Rattus norvegicus: one gene and its partner. The protein of the gene in region 2 purifies or fractionates together with the protein of the main gene of each other region. This does not show direct contact. Links are inferred from orthologs where the notes say so. Each region holds a gene or a part of one and is shown on either strand. Other genes may lie near its edges.

The links. The genes of interacting proteins can lie anywhere in the genome.
Region 1: the proteins of Mms19 (region 2) and Ppat purify together in Homo sapiens (affinity purification with mass spectrometry; 3 studies listed by BioGRID and IntAct, with this or other methods). This does not show direct contact. The link is inferred for Rattus norvegicus from reciprocal best matches to the Homo sapiens genes MMS19 and PPAT.

The regions. Positions count from the first base shown.
Region 1 is NC_086032.1:31,598,726-31,607,325, reverse strand, and holds the end of Ppat (amidophosphoribosyltransferase), read right to left. Parts: intron 8,380-8,600; coding exon 8,158-8,379; intron 6,291-8,157; coding exon 6,170-6,290; intron 5,057-6,169; coding exon 4,860-5,056; 3' UTR 2,938-4,859; downstream 1-2,937. UniProt on the Homo sapiens protein: Catalyzes the formation of phosphoribosylamine from phosphoribosylpyrophosphate (PRPP) and glutamine.
Region 2 is NC_086019.1:250,703,353-250,711,317, forward strand, and holds the end of Mms19 (MMS19 nucleotide excision repair protein homolog), read right to left. Parts: intron 7,467-7,965; coding exon 7,366-7,466; intron 6,941-7,365; coding exon 6,884-6,940; intron 6,208-6,883; coding exon 6,021-6,207; intron 4,873-6,020; coding exon 4,790-4,872; intron 4,655-4,789; coding exon 4,490-4,654; intron 4,420-4,489; coding exon 4,360-4,419; intron 3,804-4,359; coding exon 3,703-3,803; intron 3,625-3,702; coding exon 3,597-3,624; 3' UTR 3,243-3,596; downstream 1-3,242. Other genes in the region: palmitoyltransferase ZDHHC16, read left to right, coding at 348-471, 752-822, 2,448-2,562. UniProt on the Homo sapiens protein: Key component of the cytosolic iron-sulfur protein assembly (CIA) complex, a multiprotein complex that mediates the incorporation of iron-sulfur cluster into apoproteins specifically involved in DNA metabolism and genomic integrity.

The sequences.
Region 1 (8,600 bases), on a different chromosome or scaffold from region 2:
GCCAATAGGTTTAAACTATAACCTTGCTGATGTAACCTAAAAAGTATAAAAACTGCTTGTTATAGCCATTCCAGGTCACCTTCCAGGAGGGGCTGATTGAAGGTTGACCCCAACACGCAGGAAAATAAACCTCTTGGGTTTGCATCGAACCCCATTCTCATGTCTCACTTTGGGGGGGGGGGGTCTCCTGGTAGTTAAGACTCACTTCAAGCCTTACAATCCCAGCTTGTTTATTTTCTTCTTCTGGAGTATGGTTTCTCAATATCGCTATGTTGACCTGGAGGTTCAAGAACCTCTTGCCTTAGCCTCTCATTCTCTCACAGTAAAGACAGACTTTCCACTAGGGGAGAGGGGATTTTGAAAGCCAAGTCCCCCTCACCCATTCTCCCTGGACATTTAAATGTTTTTAGTGGTACAGTGTGGGTCCTCTTCTCCTTATTCTGGATTGGCTGACTTCAACAAGTAAAAGGGAGATGATATACACAGCCTCACACAAGCAGAGACGTGTCCAGGACTGATCTTGGGCACATCAGTAGAGTGAAAAAGCCCACCAGGCCTTTGTTCTGAATGAACATGGGGGTTATCCTTGGCCTCTTTTCCCACCTGTCTGCCTGTTGGGGTGCTTACCTTCAATAATTTGTGCTTTTCCCTTTCCTTCCCAATTATTTTCTTCCTACTCATTTTGGGCTATCTCATGTTAAAGAGACTTATCTAGAATGTAATAAATTCATGATCACCCATTCTTATTTTAAAGTTTTCTAAAAGTCAGTAAGGGTTGCAGAGACTAGGGTGCATCTCAGTTCAGTACTTGTTCAATGCCATTTCAGTTGATACACCATGGGCAGACCTTGAACGCCAGATACCAATCAGTGCCTCAGCCTCTTAAGTAAACGAGCTCACAGACCTGCACCACTCTTACACTGACTCTTGGTAAGTAAACATGTATGCTGGGTGAGGTTTATGAAACTAGAAAGTGGTAAACAGACTCAGGATGGAACAGAAAGCAGTTTCTTGTGGACTTTATGATAGTGTATGGTCCTAGCCAGAGCAAGGCCTGTTGTTTTTTGTGATTCATAAACAGGAAGTTTATATAATTATATGTCCATCTGAGCTATAATGTACCTGGTTTATCACAAGCTAGAATTGAGGATGGCAAATGTTGCAGCATATCTTATACTGTGACCCCCAAGACTGTGTACTGGAAAAACCTGTCTCTGGTTATATGGCTCAGCCCTAGCACACGCCTTGAATCCAAGAACTTTCTGTTTACTGTAAACAAGACTAAATAAAGTCAACCATAGGTCAAGAGGTGGAACAAGCAACCATTGACAGGGAGTCAACATGGGGAAAAAAATAAGTGAGAGGAAGTCAGGAGAACGGACAGAGACGAACAGGAAGCAGGAAGGAGGAACATTCCATTGGAAGGGCTTTTGAGATATTGTGTGCACCACCCCCCTCACCACTGGGGAATTTGTTAAGAGTAAACTAGTACAAAACCCACACTGTAGATTTTGACTTAACACTGTTCCCCTTCACCCAGGAACAGTCTACTTCCCAGAAACAAGAATATCAGGTACTATATAGCTTAAAACCAGTCCCTTTCCCATATGTAACTCTTCCCCCCATATGTAACTTTTATACAACTATAACAGCTATACTATTTCCAAGTCTACTTCCAGGTGTTAAACAGTAAGTACAGTAATGGCAGCCAAGTGCCGGAAGTCCTCAGCACGTTCACGATCACATACTGCCCATCTCACTGCCTCTCTTCTGATTCTCCTCCTCTTGCCCCCTCTCCCCCCCAGTCTCACTTCTCACTGGGAAGCGAGCAGCACTGCTTCCTTCAAAAACAATTTGGAAAACGGTTTTTCCTGTATGCAGAACAATCCACGAAAGTCAAGCTATGAGTTTCTAGTGAGTGGGTTAAGCCTATCACAAGCAAGAGCCAACAGCAGGCAGCAGATAAAGTGAGTCCAACAGGGAACGCCCTGGAGGACAAACAGGACCCTAGGTAAGTAAGGCTTCCCAAGCCATTCCCACCAGAGGCACTTTTATATTATGGGCTTTAGTTTGGGGAGTGATTGCTCTCTACTCACTGGCTGTTCTAAAGGACACATCGTTTTCATTCTTGGGCTGTTTTGCTCTTTCTCTTTTCTCAGACTGGAGCCCCGCCTGGCCCTGGACAACTGGTCTTGGAAGAACTCTTAGGACCAACAAGCTTAGGGAGCCTTAACGAGAAGGCTCGATGAGAAGGGCACTTGCTGCTGAGCCCAACTAATGGCGTTGTCTGAGGTCCAAACTGAAACTCTTCTGGGAAATGAGACTCATGGAGGCGGGGTGAGCGATACAAAAGCAAGAGTTTGCAGGGGCTGTCCCATTCCAAGGGGAGACAACCCTGGATAGACTCTTAACAGGGGGTTATATACCTTGCAAACAATTGGGGCAGAATTTGCACAAAGGTACCTAGGCAGGGCACAATGGCATTTGATGGAAACAACTTTCAGATCCACTCCGTGTACTGTTCAGGACTTTTAGTTGGGAGTCAGGTAGCTTTGTGTGACAGGTTTGGTTTGCTGCTGTTCCAGGAACTAAACCAGCTTTTTTCTTCCAGGAAGGGAGGGGTCCTTGTGCTCAGAAGTTTGTAGTGAGAATTTTCCCGCTGGCCCCGTATTGGTCCCAATTCTGGTTCTTTCAGTTGAAAGAAGGTAGACAGATGACTCCCACAGATCGTCTTGACATTCTATTTTCCAATTACTTTACTGCCCTCCTGCTTGGCATGTGTTTGCCCAGCTCATAAGAGATGGACTATTTATTAAAATGCCTGAATCAGAGAAATAAGATCTCATCAGCTGATGCCAGGTATGGAACCTGGCACTGTCTTCATGCTGCGCACCATAATGTACTGATTACTACTATTTTTAAAAAGCACACATATAAACACGTTTATTACATATATTTGTTGCAAAAAAACAAAAAACCACACAGGCACATACAAAACAAAAAGTAGGCTTACATTAGTTTAGGACGTTAACTGTCTTCAAACACATTTTTCATCTTTTCAGCATATAGTACTCTAGTTATATACATTTAAAGCAGATAAAATAAGGCTTGAAACTGGTAAAATGTTAATTTAATCCATATTCAGAAACTTGTAAAATAAAAGGTAACAATGAAGAAATAATTAAGAAAGTTGTACAAACGACCATGGTTATTATTTCCCTTTATAAAAGTATTCCAATAAAACAAAATAAAAACTGTGGAACACAAAAGTCAAATTAGAGATTTTGGTTGTAGTACCTTCCCTGAGTTTCTTTGTAAAACATCAAATTTAAATAAGGCCATTTAAAAACTGACCTAACGGCCTTACCCCTCCACGCCGCCATTACACACAATGCATGTAACACAGGAGGTTGCACCCACTAAAATGGCCCCAGGGCTGTGAAAGGCCAGCCTGTGTCTATGCCACAGGACAACCTCAGGCACCGCACGCAGCACATGACCTCGAAGTCCTAACAGTTTATTTTGACCTGCCATATGTGACACACCACACTATATACCAAATGTGGACTAATGATTTCAGTTTTTAATAAATATTATATTTCTAAGTGGGTTTGGAAAGTAGCAAATTTTGGCAATATAGAGACAATTATTTTTCCATGTGAAAAATCCCACACAAACAGGAGTTAGTAAATCACCTCAATCCACTAAATCTGCATCATAAAAAAATTAAAAATGTCACTAGACCTAACAAAAAAAATTAGAAAAAACATGATCATGAGCTAACGCTTGGGTACAGGCAATCTAATTCCCCAAACAGTGGCTGTCCCCTCAGCCTTTAAACAAAATCGGCCCTACTGTGTCTCTATTCCCTCTGTTTAAACCAAATGCATACATGTATACAAGTACACAGTTCTGTAAATGATCAAGCACTCATTCAAACAGCCAAGTTTAATCAAATCAAGGATAAAGGCTTACTTGAAATTAAAATTTTCTCTTTCCAATGTACTTACTAAGTTATTTGCTAGGCTAAATATTTTCTGTCAAGTGTAGAAAAACAGGGCTCCAGATAGATTTCTCAGTCGTTCTGGTATATCCCAAAGAGATGGAAAAGGTCTGCAAACCTCCATCACAAGGAAACTGAAAACTAATTTAGTGAAAGCTAATTACCATTAGCTTCTGAAGCTACTGACCATGCATGGTAAAGAAGCAGGGGTAAAACGGCAGCTCTAAGCCTCCCAGACAAACACACAAGTTCCCGCTAAGCATTAAGTTTATGAATGACTTAGGAAACAGATGTGGAGTCCGAGGCACAGAAAGAGGTTCTTTATCTTGAGACAGGAAAACCCAGGTTGGCCTTGAACTCAGGACTCTCCTGCCTCAGCTTTCCACATAGGTTTTCATTTTTTAGGAGTTGTACACTGGTCCCCAGAGCCATACATGTGTGTATGGGGTGGAAGAATCAAAGACCAAGGCCATAACTGCAGACTTGACTGCATAGACTAGATACATATGGGGCACAATGAATTCAAGCTTTTCATGAAACTTTATAAAGCTTCCTGTCCTGGGCACACAACCTCCCTATCTCACCTCTTTAGAACCATTCAAGCATGGGTCTGGGAAATGCCACTTCCTGCCTTCTCTTGGGTGAAAAGTCAGTCCTTATACAAAAAGAATCCCCACATGTCGCATTACATGTAATCTTTATGATTCAATTATAGCAATTCAGTGACCTCAGAAAATCTCAAAACTTAAGGTATAATACATAAGCAAGTGGTGTCCATTTTGTACCAACTGAGGAACACATGTAAACCACTTCTTGATGACCTTTCAGTCTGGAAGCAGCACATCGGTCCAGGCAGCTACCATTCCAGATCCACAGGGTACTGGCCAGTGAGGCAAGCCGTACAGTGTCCCGTCTTCTCAAAATACTCCAGACCATTTCCATTTTCTTGAATTGTGATATCACGCTTTTTAACTTTCTGCTTCTTGAACTTTATTTCTTGTTGCACAGACGAAACTAGTCCTTCCACTGACAGATACACAACGCTGTTTGCTCCTGCGGGAGGAGAGGAAAACATGTCTCACTACAACACAGCTACCTACAGACATTGCTGACAGTCAGGACGAAAGCTTCTCTCTTAGCCTTCCTGAAAAAGGGAAGTTGGATGTGATGACATACAGCCTGCAGCCCCCGCTGCTTCAGAAGCTGAGGCAAGATGATGTCAGGACCAAGCCAACCAGGACAATTCAAACTTTTAAAAGGCGAGAGAAACTGGGAATGTAGCTTAGTGGAAAAATGCTGGTTTAGAGCGTACAAATCTACAAATCTCTCAATTCAATCGTGTGTGTGTGTGTGGGGGGGGGGGGTTATTCTACTCTATGATAAAACATGGTCTTCTGATCTTGCTTTGACCTATAGCTCTAATATAAAAAGTGCCCCACCTGTTTTTCTCTTTAGAGTAATTGTGTTCAATGTCATAATAATTATTGTGGGGTTTTTGTTTTTATTTTGTTTTGTTGAGACAAGGCTTCACTCTGTAGCCCTGGCTATCCTAGAATTAATTACCATTATAGACCTTGCTGGCCTTAAACTCGGACCTGGCTGCCTCTGTCTCCCGTATTAGATTTAAAGGCACGTGTTACCACATAAGATAGGATTTGCAGGGGTTGGGGATTTAGCTCAGTGGTAGAGCGCTTGCCTAGGAAGCGCAAGGCCCTGGGTTCAGTCCCCAGCTCCGAAAAAAAAAAAAAAAAGAACCAAAAAAAAAAAAAAAAAGTGTTAAAAGATAGGATTTGCAATCTTTGTGTTATTACTAGAAGGTAACTTTTGGTGCTACTGTGAATGACTGACCCCCCAGCGTGTATGTGCGCATGTATACATGAGTCTGTAGAAGGCCAAGGTAGTGGTCTCAGGGTCACGGATTCTGTGACTCTAGCTAGCCTGCTTACTCTGGGTATACAGTCTCCACTCTGGAATTAGACACACCTACCCCACGTATCATTTACAGACTCAACTCTGGTCCCCCAAAACTTGCAGAGCCAGAACTAGAGCCAGGACCAGCTCCCCAGCACTCAAATTTACCTTCCAACTAATTGCTGTTTTACACAAAAGTACACTCAAAATTTAAAACAGACAGTTAATAATATTTATAGAAATGTTAATACCTACCAAGGTACTCTGCAAGATACTCAAATTCGGGCTTATTGGCTATAAGCTCTTCTTTTGTAGGAATGTTTATTCCCATGAAGCACGGATGTTTTATTGGTGGCGAAGCGACTCGAATGTGTACCTTGGGAAAAAAATCATATCATATACTCGCAGCCCAACTAATCATGCATTCCTGTTGACTGACTTTATACATGCCTAGTGCTTTTGTTTTGTTTGAATGCCTAAGAGGTACTTTGCTGATCTGTACTTAGTAAAAATGGTAAAATCTGCTAGGTTATAATGAAAATCTTACTAATCATAACATGGCTCCTTCTGTCTGCTATTGGTTTTGCCCTTTCTGTTTGGTCCATTTACATGGTTACAACTAGTAGCTACATTTTATTTTTAATCTTTCATATATTATAAATCTTCACACAGATTTAAATGTCCATGCCATATTTCATCACAGGCAAACATCTCACTTTATATACTTAACCTACTTGCACGGTATGTGATTAGCGATTCTTTTTTACTATAGCAACAGATGCTGAATTGATTATATCCTCTTGTTTCTACTCTCTAACCTTCATAGAGTTCAACAGTGAGATTAGCAGAACCATAATCAGTCATAAAAAACCTGGAAAACCTTAGTAATTCTTGAAATGTTCTAATACAGGCCGTCTTTATTGCTTTCCATCCCACTTTTCAAACTCATTCAAATATATATATATATATATATGTATATATGGCATCTTGCTTCTATAACTTAAGGGACTGAAATAGTTACAATTGAGACTCCAACTGAGTCACACGAACTTTCTGAGCTTTTCGAAGAATTTAAAAGTTATTTTATACTACTTTTTGTTTATTAAAGGTATAGCAACATGATATGCTGCCTCGTTTTATGTCAACCTCAAGTCATCTGAGAGGATGGAGCCTCAATTAAGAAAATGTGTCGTCCATCAGAGAAAGCACCTGGCCTCACGGAGACTTCAAGTGCCAGGGTGGGTTGATGCCCAGGGGAACCCCCACCTGCTCAGAGGAATAGGGGGAGGGGTGTGAGGGGAGGGTAAGAAAGTTAGGGAGAGGTGACTGAGGGCAGTGAGCAGGATGTAAAGTGAATAAGCAAAATTAATTAATTAATTAAGTAAGTAAGTAATAAAAACCTCCTTAGCTCCAGTTGGAGGCAGGCTTGTAAGGTATTTTCTTAATTAGTGATCAATGGGGGGGGTGGGGTGGGGGTCCAGCCTGTTGTGGGTCATGCCTCCCTGGTCTGGTGGTCCTGGGTTCTTCTATTAAGAAAGCAGGCTGAGGGGTTGGTGATTTAGCTCAGTGGTAGAGCGCTTACCTAGGAAGCGCAAGGCCCTGGGTTCAGTCTCCAGCTCCGAAAAAAAGAACCAAAAAAAAGAAAGAAAGCAGGCTAAGCAAACAAAGAGGAGCAAGCAAGCCAGTAAGCAGCACCCCTCCATGGCCTCTGCATCAGCTCCTGCCTCCAGGTTCCCACCCTGCTTGAGTTCCTGTCCTGACTTTCTTCAATGATGAACAGTGATGTGGATTAACCCTTTCATCTCCAACTCATTTTTTGGCGGTTGTGGTGTTTCATCGCAGCAACAGAAACCCTAACTAAGACGGATGTCTAAAGGAACAATATATAACATTAATTAAAAAATATTACAGTGTGAAACATACTTGGGTTTTTTAATTGTTTTTTTTTTTTTTTTTTTTTTTTTTTTTGGAGACAGGATTATATATAAGCAGCCATAGCAGGCCTCTGCCACTGCCTCCCAAGTGCTGGGAGTGACCTTCTAGGTTCACCTTTTCAATCTATGAAGGTTAAACTTAGTAGAGTATAAGAGTAGTTAGTTAGCACATGTTCTCCTTCGCGCTGCCCAGCTCTATAGAGCAACCTGATATGCGACGTTACAGGGACTCTCACTGGGATACAGCACTCTGTGCCCACACCATATGGTTAATTACTGGTACTACAGCATATGCTTTAAAACACTCACCTCCTTTGCACCGGATTCTTTGAGGAGTTTTATGATGGGTGAGATAGTATTGCCTCTCACAATGGAATCATCTATGAGAACAATTCTTTTGCCTTTAAAGTTGTCAGACAACACGCCGAATTTCTTTGCAACCCCAAGTTGTCTTAGCCTCATGTTTGGCTGAATGAAGGTTCTTCCTACATACCGGTTCTTACACAGCACCTCCACATATGGCAGCCCACACTGATGGAGGGGAAATAAATGCACGTTAGTAGCAAAACTGGCCTAAAAACATGACTTTGAGAGACAAAAGATCTTCATTCATTCACTTGAGGTAACTGTCTCTATAGCACATGTGCACTATTCTTTCACGTAGAAGCTAAGTAAGCATGCTCATCTACCTATGACCACTAAATTCTGCATGCATTCATAATGTCACCTTGTTTCTGGAAAAGTATTTCACT
Region 2 (7,965 bases):
AATCAGGAACTTAGAGGAGACTTGTTCTACACTGCGTAGCTGGAGCTGCAGTGTTGGTACATGGATTTCCGACAACCAGTCCAACCCCTCATGCTTGTATGACCCTTCACTATCTTCCAAGTCAAGCATGGGCATTTTAACAAAGTCTACATTTCCCCCATCTTCCTTTCCATACCACCTTTTTCCAGATTTCAGTAAACCTCTAAAAGGTTGAATATGTGCTCACCTAGGCCCTGGATGATGAGGTCAGGAGAATGAAGCAGAGAGGCTCTAAGCCAATCATAGCCACGAGTTTGCCCTCCTCTCTGTCTTCCAGCTTCTAATTTCTATTAATTTTTGCCTCTTAGTTCTGTGGCCCTGGCCCTGGGTGCCCTAACCATGTGGCATGCTGTCCTCATCAGCCGGGGTGAGACTAGCATCGAAAGGCATATCAACAAGAAGGAGAGACGCCGGCTACAGGCCAAGGGCAGAGTGAGTGGGGAAGGGACTTGGGTGAGCAGGTGGGTAACAAACAGGCCACTGTCAGTGCTCACTTAGACAAGTTTCTAGTTTTTCACTTTGTTTTAAAGCTGGGTCCCATTATGTAGCTCTGGCTGGCCTAGAATGCCCAGTGCTGAGGTCAAAGTCATGCATCATCACAACCAGCCAACAGGTGTCTTAAAAGTTAGACTTTGCTTACAGGAGCTCTATCATCTCCAAGATGAGAAGGAGATTAAGTAGAAGAGTAGCAATGTATTTTCCTTGTCTCTAGGTGTTTAGGAATCCTTACAACTACGGCTGCTTGGACAACTGGAAGGTGTTCCTAGGTGTGGACACAGGAAGGTAAAGTAAGAAAGACAGCAGTGCTGTGCAACAGGACTGTGATAGGGACCTGGTCCATACCCAGAATCAGAGATTGTAATCCAGCTGAAGCTAAAGACAGTGCTGTAGAAGGTGGACTGTCCACAAAAGCAGACTGGTTAGTGACACTGAGGAGTTTGCAATTAGGTTTCATCCTCAGGAATAGCCACATGCGACCAGCTTTTTGTTATGCACTTGGAATAACCACTATTTATTTGAACCATTGGGGCCTGAGGCTAAAACTCACTCCCCTCCCCCCATTTTATGTATGTGAGTACAGTGCAGCTGTCTTCAGACACACCAGAAGAGGGCATCAGATCTCATTACAGATGGATGTGAGCCACCATGTGATTGCTGGGAATTGAACTCAGGACCTCTGGAAGAGCACTCTGGAAGAGTGCTCTTAACTGCTGAGCCATCTCTCTACCCCCCAAGGCTAAAACGTTTTAAAGAAAATAGTATGAGTATTTTCTGTATACTTGTTATGCACATCATGTGCATGCCTGGTACCTGGGGTCAGGAGAGGGCATTGGATGGATCCCTTGGGACTGGAGATAGTTATAGACTGCCATGTGGTATAGACTCCTATGTGGGTACTAGGAATCAAAACTCTGCAGGAGCAACAGGTACTCAAGTGCTGAGCTATCTCTCCAGCCCCTGAAACTGTGGTTTAAAAGGTATGGTTCAAACAACTACAGAAGAGCTTGTAGATAGGCACTGTATCTGGAGTTCAAGCCAGCAATGTGTGAGACTGAGGTAACCTACATGTGACAGAGGTCTGACAGCAATATGAGAGACTAGCTCTGTCCAGTCCAAGAAGAAATCATTTTTTTCTTCTTTTTTTCGGAGCTGGGGACTGAACCCAGGGCACGCTCTACCACTGGGCTAAATCCCCAACCCCCGAAATAATTTTTTAAAATGCAGATTACTAGGCTAGGCATGATCATGTACATCTGTAATCCCATCACTTGGAAGGCACAGGCAGATCCAGAGTTTGAGGACCTTGCCTCCCCTCACCCTGTGCCTACCCTTGATGAGTCCGTGAAGTCCCTTCCTCTTTGCCTCATCATCATTGCATTCCCCTCTACTGCACTTGCAGCACAGTACAAGATTGGGGCTGGCCATGGCAGCCCACACCTGGAAATCCAGCATTCAGGAGACCAGGGCATCGTAATTACCAGGATTGGTAATCCAAGGCCAACCTGGGTTACACAGTGATGTTCTGTCTTGAAACAAAAACAAGTGACTTAAATGGAGAAGGCCATACTTAGAGCATCTATGAACTGTTCTTTTTTTTTTTTTTTTTGGAGCTGGGGACCGAACCCAGGGCCTTGCGCTTCCTAGGTAAGCGCTCTACCACTGAGCTAAATCCCCAGCCCCCTATGAACTGTTCTTAAGCTGTCTCCCCACTTCCCAGGCTTTAAATTAAAAAGTGCTTAAGATGCCTTCAGAGCCCCAGAGGGTACAGTTCCCAGACAGAATCAGAGATGAGAACTCTGTCTTTGTTTGATGTATGTTTGCTGCAGGGCAAATGGGAAGGACAACCAAGAACTCAGACCTAAAGAGATTTTTTTTTTTTTTTTTTTTTTTTGGATCATTCCTCACAGGCATTGGCTGACCCGGGTGCTGTTACCTTCTAGTCACCTGCCTCATGGGAATGGGATGAGCTGGGATCCTCCTCCCTGGGTGACTGCTCACTCAGCCTCTGTGATGGCCGTGTAAGCCACAACTTGAACATTGTTCGATGTTTATTGTCTTTCAAGAGCTTCCAAGGGCAGCTTTTCCTGGAATCCATGACCATAAGAACCATTAGGCTGCCTTAGAGTACTACACAGGGACAATCAAGAGCAATCTTCTGCCACCTCAGAGCAAGATGCAGTGTGGAGGAACTCAATGATTGAAGTCCCTTTACTCAGGCAAATAAGTTTTAGCCCCAGACCAGGAGTCAGGTAATGAGCTCTAGGTCACAGCACTGGGGCTAGACACCATTTCTTTGACTTTGGGAAAAGATCCATCAGGTGTGTTCTGGCTTCGCAATGGGATAAAGAACCTAAGCCTATTGCCAAGGTCACTGCCATTTCTCACGTGCTACGGAAGGAGCGAAAATAAAGGCATTTGATTTGTAAAGATAGTAGCTTTTCTGTGCCTTGGTGAAGGTGAAGTTCAGGATGAAGAAGTGGGTCACTGAGTGGGCATTCCGAGGGTGTCTCTTTTTTTTTTTCCCAGAGCTGGGGACCGAACCCAGGGCCTTGCGCTTCCTAGGCAAGCGCTCTACCGCTGAGCTAAATCCCCAACCCCGAGGGTGTCTCTTATGCCCTTATTTTGGGCATATTTTGAAGGGCTGGGAGCTCTCGGTATGTGCCACTACAGCATCTGCAGGATAAAGGGAATACATGGGAATCTGCCCATTACAAAAGTCTTTATTCGCTGGCAGGTGCATTCATGTAACACACATCCCTAGTTCTCAAGGTCACACTCAACTGGATTGGCCCTTCAGCAGCACAGCCACGTAGTGTCCTGATAGGACACAGGAGAGCCCAAGATCTTTTCCTCAAATACAAGTCTCAGTCTCTTCAACAATCCATTAGAAATCATGGCTCTTGGAAAAGAGTTTTGCACAGCCATGCAGGAGAGGCCCAGCATTTGTACTGCATCCATGGGCGGGCAGGCCAGTGGGTGGTCTTGCCTTGTGGGATGGCTCAATATTAGTACTTGCGGGTTAGATTGTCAGGAGGGTTTAGGTGAGGACCAAGGGCTCAGCTCCCAGGGCTCCCCAGTAGGAACCTGTGGACATGAAGAATGTTACAACACTATTCTGAGGTTCTCCTTAGTCCCCCCCATTCCCTTCAGCCAACAGCTTACCATTCTCCCCTTGCTGACACTGCTTCCTTGCGCACAAGTCTCTTCTTGTCATCCAGAGGCTTGGCTAAAGCTCGGATCACCTGAGATTTGAATGGCAGCAACTGTGAAGAAATCAGAGACACCATCTTACTCTGGCTGAGCTGAACAACAAGAAGTGCATCCTACACTGTGCAGCTCAATTCTGATAGAAGTGAAATGTGCCCTATTTTAAAGACTTGCGTATGTGTACGCCTGGTGTCATGAGGCCAGATGTACGCGCACTGGATCCCCTAGAATGGTATTACAAATTACTATATACTGCCATGTGGGTGCTAGGAATCATGTGGGTCTTCTGGAAGAACAGCCAGTGCTCCTAAGCCACCTTTCCAGCCCCAGTTTTCTTATTTGAGGTTTTTATGTAGGATGAGCAATGTTATGAGGTGGTCAGAATTCACTAGATCCATTCTGCACTCGGGGGAAGGGGTGGTGGCATATTTATAATTATCTATGTGCACCATGTATATAGTTCCTATCCTACCATACTCAGTTGGTGGTGGCTAATCTCACTTGAAAGCAAAAAAGTATTCAACCAGGTATGGCAGCGTACACAAGTCAGGCCAGCTTGGAGAACAGTGACCACCCTGTCTCAAACAAGCACTTCTGACTCTAAAGACTTACCACAGAAGTGGGTAGCCGAGTGAGAGCATGCATACACTGCAGAGCAGCAATCCGGACGGCCTGGAACACAAAATGAGGTCAGGGGAGATAAAGGAGAAAGGTACTGAAGGGTGTGCTGGGCTCAACGCACCATTGAATGACTGGAACTGAGGTTCAGGAATTTCGTGACCAGAGTATCAACATGAAGACTCATGATTTGGGGTGCTTCCAGTAGTAAGGGTTGGAGACAGCTCAAAGTGGAAAGCTGGACCACAGAGTCAGGGCAGGACAGTGCCTCCAGCAGCAAGGAAAGGAGCTAAGAAGCAATGGAAAATAGGATGTACATTATGGTCTTGGAACTCCCTCTACCAGCTGTAGCCAAGGGACCCGAAACCACCCTCCTCCCCCTCCCCGACCCCCGTCCCTTGCTGAAGGTTCCCACAGGACTTACTGTGGGCAGCTCTGGTAAAAGCACAGGCTTAGGCAGCCTGTTGAGTACATGAGATAGACCCTTCAGATAGTTTGGCTTCACATCTGGGGATAAAAAGAAAAAAGATGTGTAGGAGAAAAATGGGTTAGACAGACATTCAGTTCTGAGAATTCAATCTCTAACTCACATGAATAGGTTTGTCAATTTATAATAAGGTGTGGTGACTAAAGTCTATTCAGAACTCAGGAGGCTGAGGCAAGGGGAGTCAAAGCCAGTTTGAGCTACAGAGTGAGACCTGCCTGAAGAAAAGGGTTGAGGCTAGGGAAGATAGGTCAGGTGGGAGAGTACTTTCTGTACTATGAGGACCTGAGTTCTAGTCCCATGAAACCATGATTCATGGTAAGCGCTGCAGTGCATCCCAGTGGGGAGACTGGCTAGCTGGTCTTGCCAGAGCAGCAAGCTTGAGGCTCACTGGGAAATCCTGTCTCAGGAAATGAAGTAGAAGGGCCAGCAAGATAGCTCCTTAGGTAAAGGCCCTCGCCTTCATGACCTAAGCTCAATCCCTGGAACCCATTTGGTACAACTTCTTCAACCTCCATCATACATACAAACACACACCACACTGTGGAAAACAATGGAAGAACATGCAATCAGGCCATCAGCAGGCAGTGGGTGAAGGCACCTACTGTTAAGCCTGATTAGTGGTCAATCATTGGAATCTACATGGAGGAGGGGAGATCCTCACAGACACATTGTGGTCCATCTTTGGAAGCTACATGGTGGAAGGCGAGACCTCCATAGACATTGTGGCATGCAATTGGTAAAAAAACGTAATAAGGCTAGAGAGATGGCTCAGTGGTTAAGAGCACTGACTGCTCTTCCAGAGGTCCTGAGTTCAATTTCCAGCCACCACATGGTGGCTCACAACCATCTGTGATGGGATCTGATGCCCTCTTCTGGTGTCTAAAGACAGCTATAGTATACTCATATAAAATAAATCAATCTAAAAAAGTTAATAAAAATAGGTACTAGATCTTGACTTCTGGCTCCCACACAAATGTACGTACACACACGCACAGTTTAATCAGCCTCTTGAGCTCCTAATAACTCAAATGTACTCATCAGGGAAAAGTGGGATGAAAGTACAGCTCTGTAGGTGTAGACCACAATATAGCGTCTGGGTCCTAAATTATTGTAGGGACGTATGGCCAAGAGTAGAGGCCCATGTATTTGGAGATCAGCTTTCAGATACCTTGGGGAGCAGCATGGAAACCCTGGACCAAAGCAGGCACATTGTCTGTGAAGAAGCGCTGGCGGAACATGATCCGAACATCAGCATGGCCGGCCCGAGTCAGCACATCAGTGCAGTCAGACATGAGCAGAGAGAAGCCATCAGCTGCTGCACAGCCTAGTTCTGGGTCGCTGAGGAGGCCCATGAGCTAGTGAAAAAACAAACCAGCCTGTTAAGTGTGATAGAAGGAAAAATCTCAAACACCAAAGAGAATGAAAGCCTTGTAAGAATAAGAACGGGGGCTGAAGAGGTGGATCTGGTTGAGAGCACTTGCTGTTTAGAGAACTTGGGTTGGGTTCCCAGAACCCACATGATGGCTTACAACCATCCATAACTCCAACTCTGGCAATGTCCTCTGCCCTTCTTGGGCAGCAGGGATGCATGTGCCACATTCTGTATACAGTGGCCACACATGCAAAACATACACATTTTACACACACACACACACACACACACACACACACACACACATGTATGTATGTATGTATGTATGTATGTATGTATGTATGTATGTATGTATGTATGACAAGGCTTCTCTATGTCCTGGAACCACTGCTTCAAACTCATTGATCTGTCTCTTTCTGCCAGAGTGCTGGGACGGAAAAGCATAAGCCACCACAGCCAACAAAAATTTTTTTTTCTCTTTTCTTTTTTTTTCGGAGGTGGGGACCAAACCCAGGGCCTTGCGCTTGCTAGGCAAGCGCTCTACCACTGAGCTAAATCCCCAACCCCACAGCCAACAAAATTTAAATCTTTAAAAACAAACAGTAAGAGGTAGGATCCAAGGCATGTTGTTGAGATTCCAGTTATGTGGTAGAGCTTACCCGAGCGGTTAGGCTGGCACTGAGAGGATGGTACCTGAGGACTAGAGCCTTGGTTACCTGTAATAAAAAAAAAGCAATCAGGACCCAGAGGCCCTCCTGCCACATGTGGCTTGAATGAGATGTCTGTCCCCCATTAGTCTCTGGCATTTGAGTACTTAGGAGGTCTGGCCTTGCAGGAGGAAGAATGTCACGGGAGGTAGGTTTTGAGGTTTTAAAAGATTTGAGACATTCCCAGTCTCTCTCTCAGCCTCTTGATTTTGGATCAAGATGTGAGCTCTCAGCTATTCCTGCTGTCTTGCCTGTGCTCTGCCATCATACTCTGACTCTGACACCATTTTAAACCCAGTCAGATGCTACTATAAGCTATCTTAGTCATGGTATTTTAACCCGGCAACAGGAAAGTAACTACTACAGGGGCAAGTAGAAATTTTTTAATTTGGCACAATCATCTGTGTCTGCCAGCATCTATGCTACCTCCTTACCCAGAGCAGCAGTGTGAAAGCCTGATTACGGGAGGATTCAGAGGCCAGACCCGCCTCCACTGTGTCCACAGAGAGCTGGAGGAACTCATCCAACTGCTGCCCTAGAAGGAAGGAGGGCATAATGGTGCACAATGGCAGTGTAGGTTTTTAAGGACAAAGGATGTAAATTGACCAGGTGCAGAGCACCTGAGAAGCTATTGGAAAAGGACAATCAAAATGACAGAATGCCAGCAGGACAGTCTGTACAGCACAGGTGCAGTACTCAACACAAGGATGCGGACACCTGAGAGAGCTGTCTACGCCAATAAAGACTTAGTCTGTGAAGGCTGGAGAGAGGGCTCAGCACTTGGGAGCGCGAGGTGCTCTTGCAGAGACTACAGTTTGGCTCCAGAACCCATATGGCAGTTCACAACCACATGCAACTCCAGTCCCAGGGGATCTAATGCCCTCCTTTGGCTCCCAAGGACACCAGACACCCATGTGGTGCATGTATGTACATAACAGGTAAGTTTGCATATACAAAAGATAAGCAACTTCAAAAAATATGTCTATTTAATGTCTCTGCAATGTCTGTGCAGCTATGTACATTTGAGTGCAGCT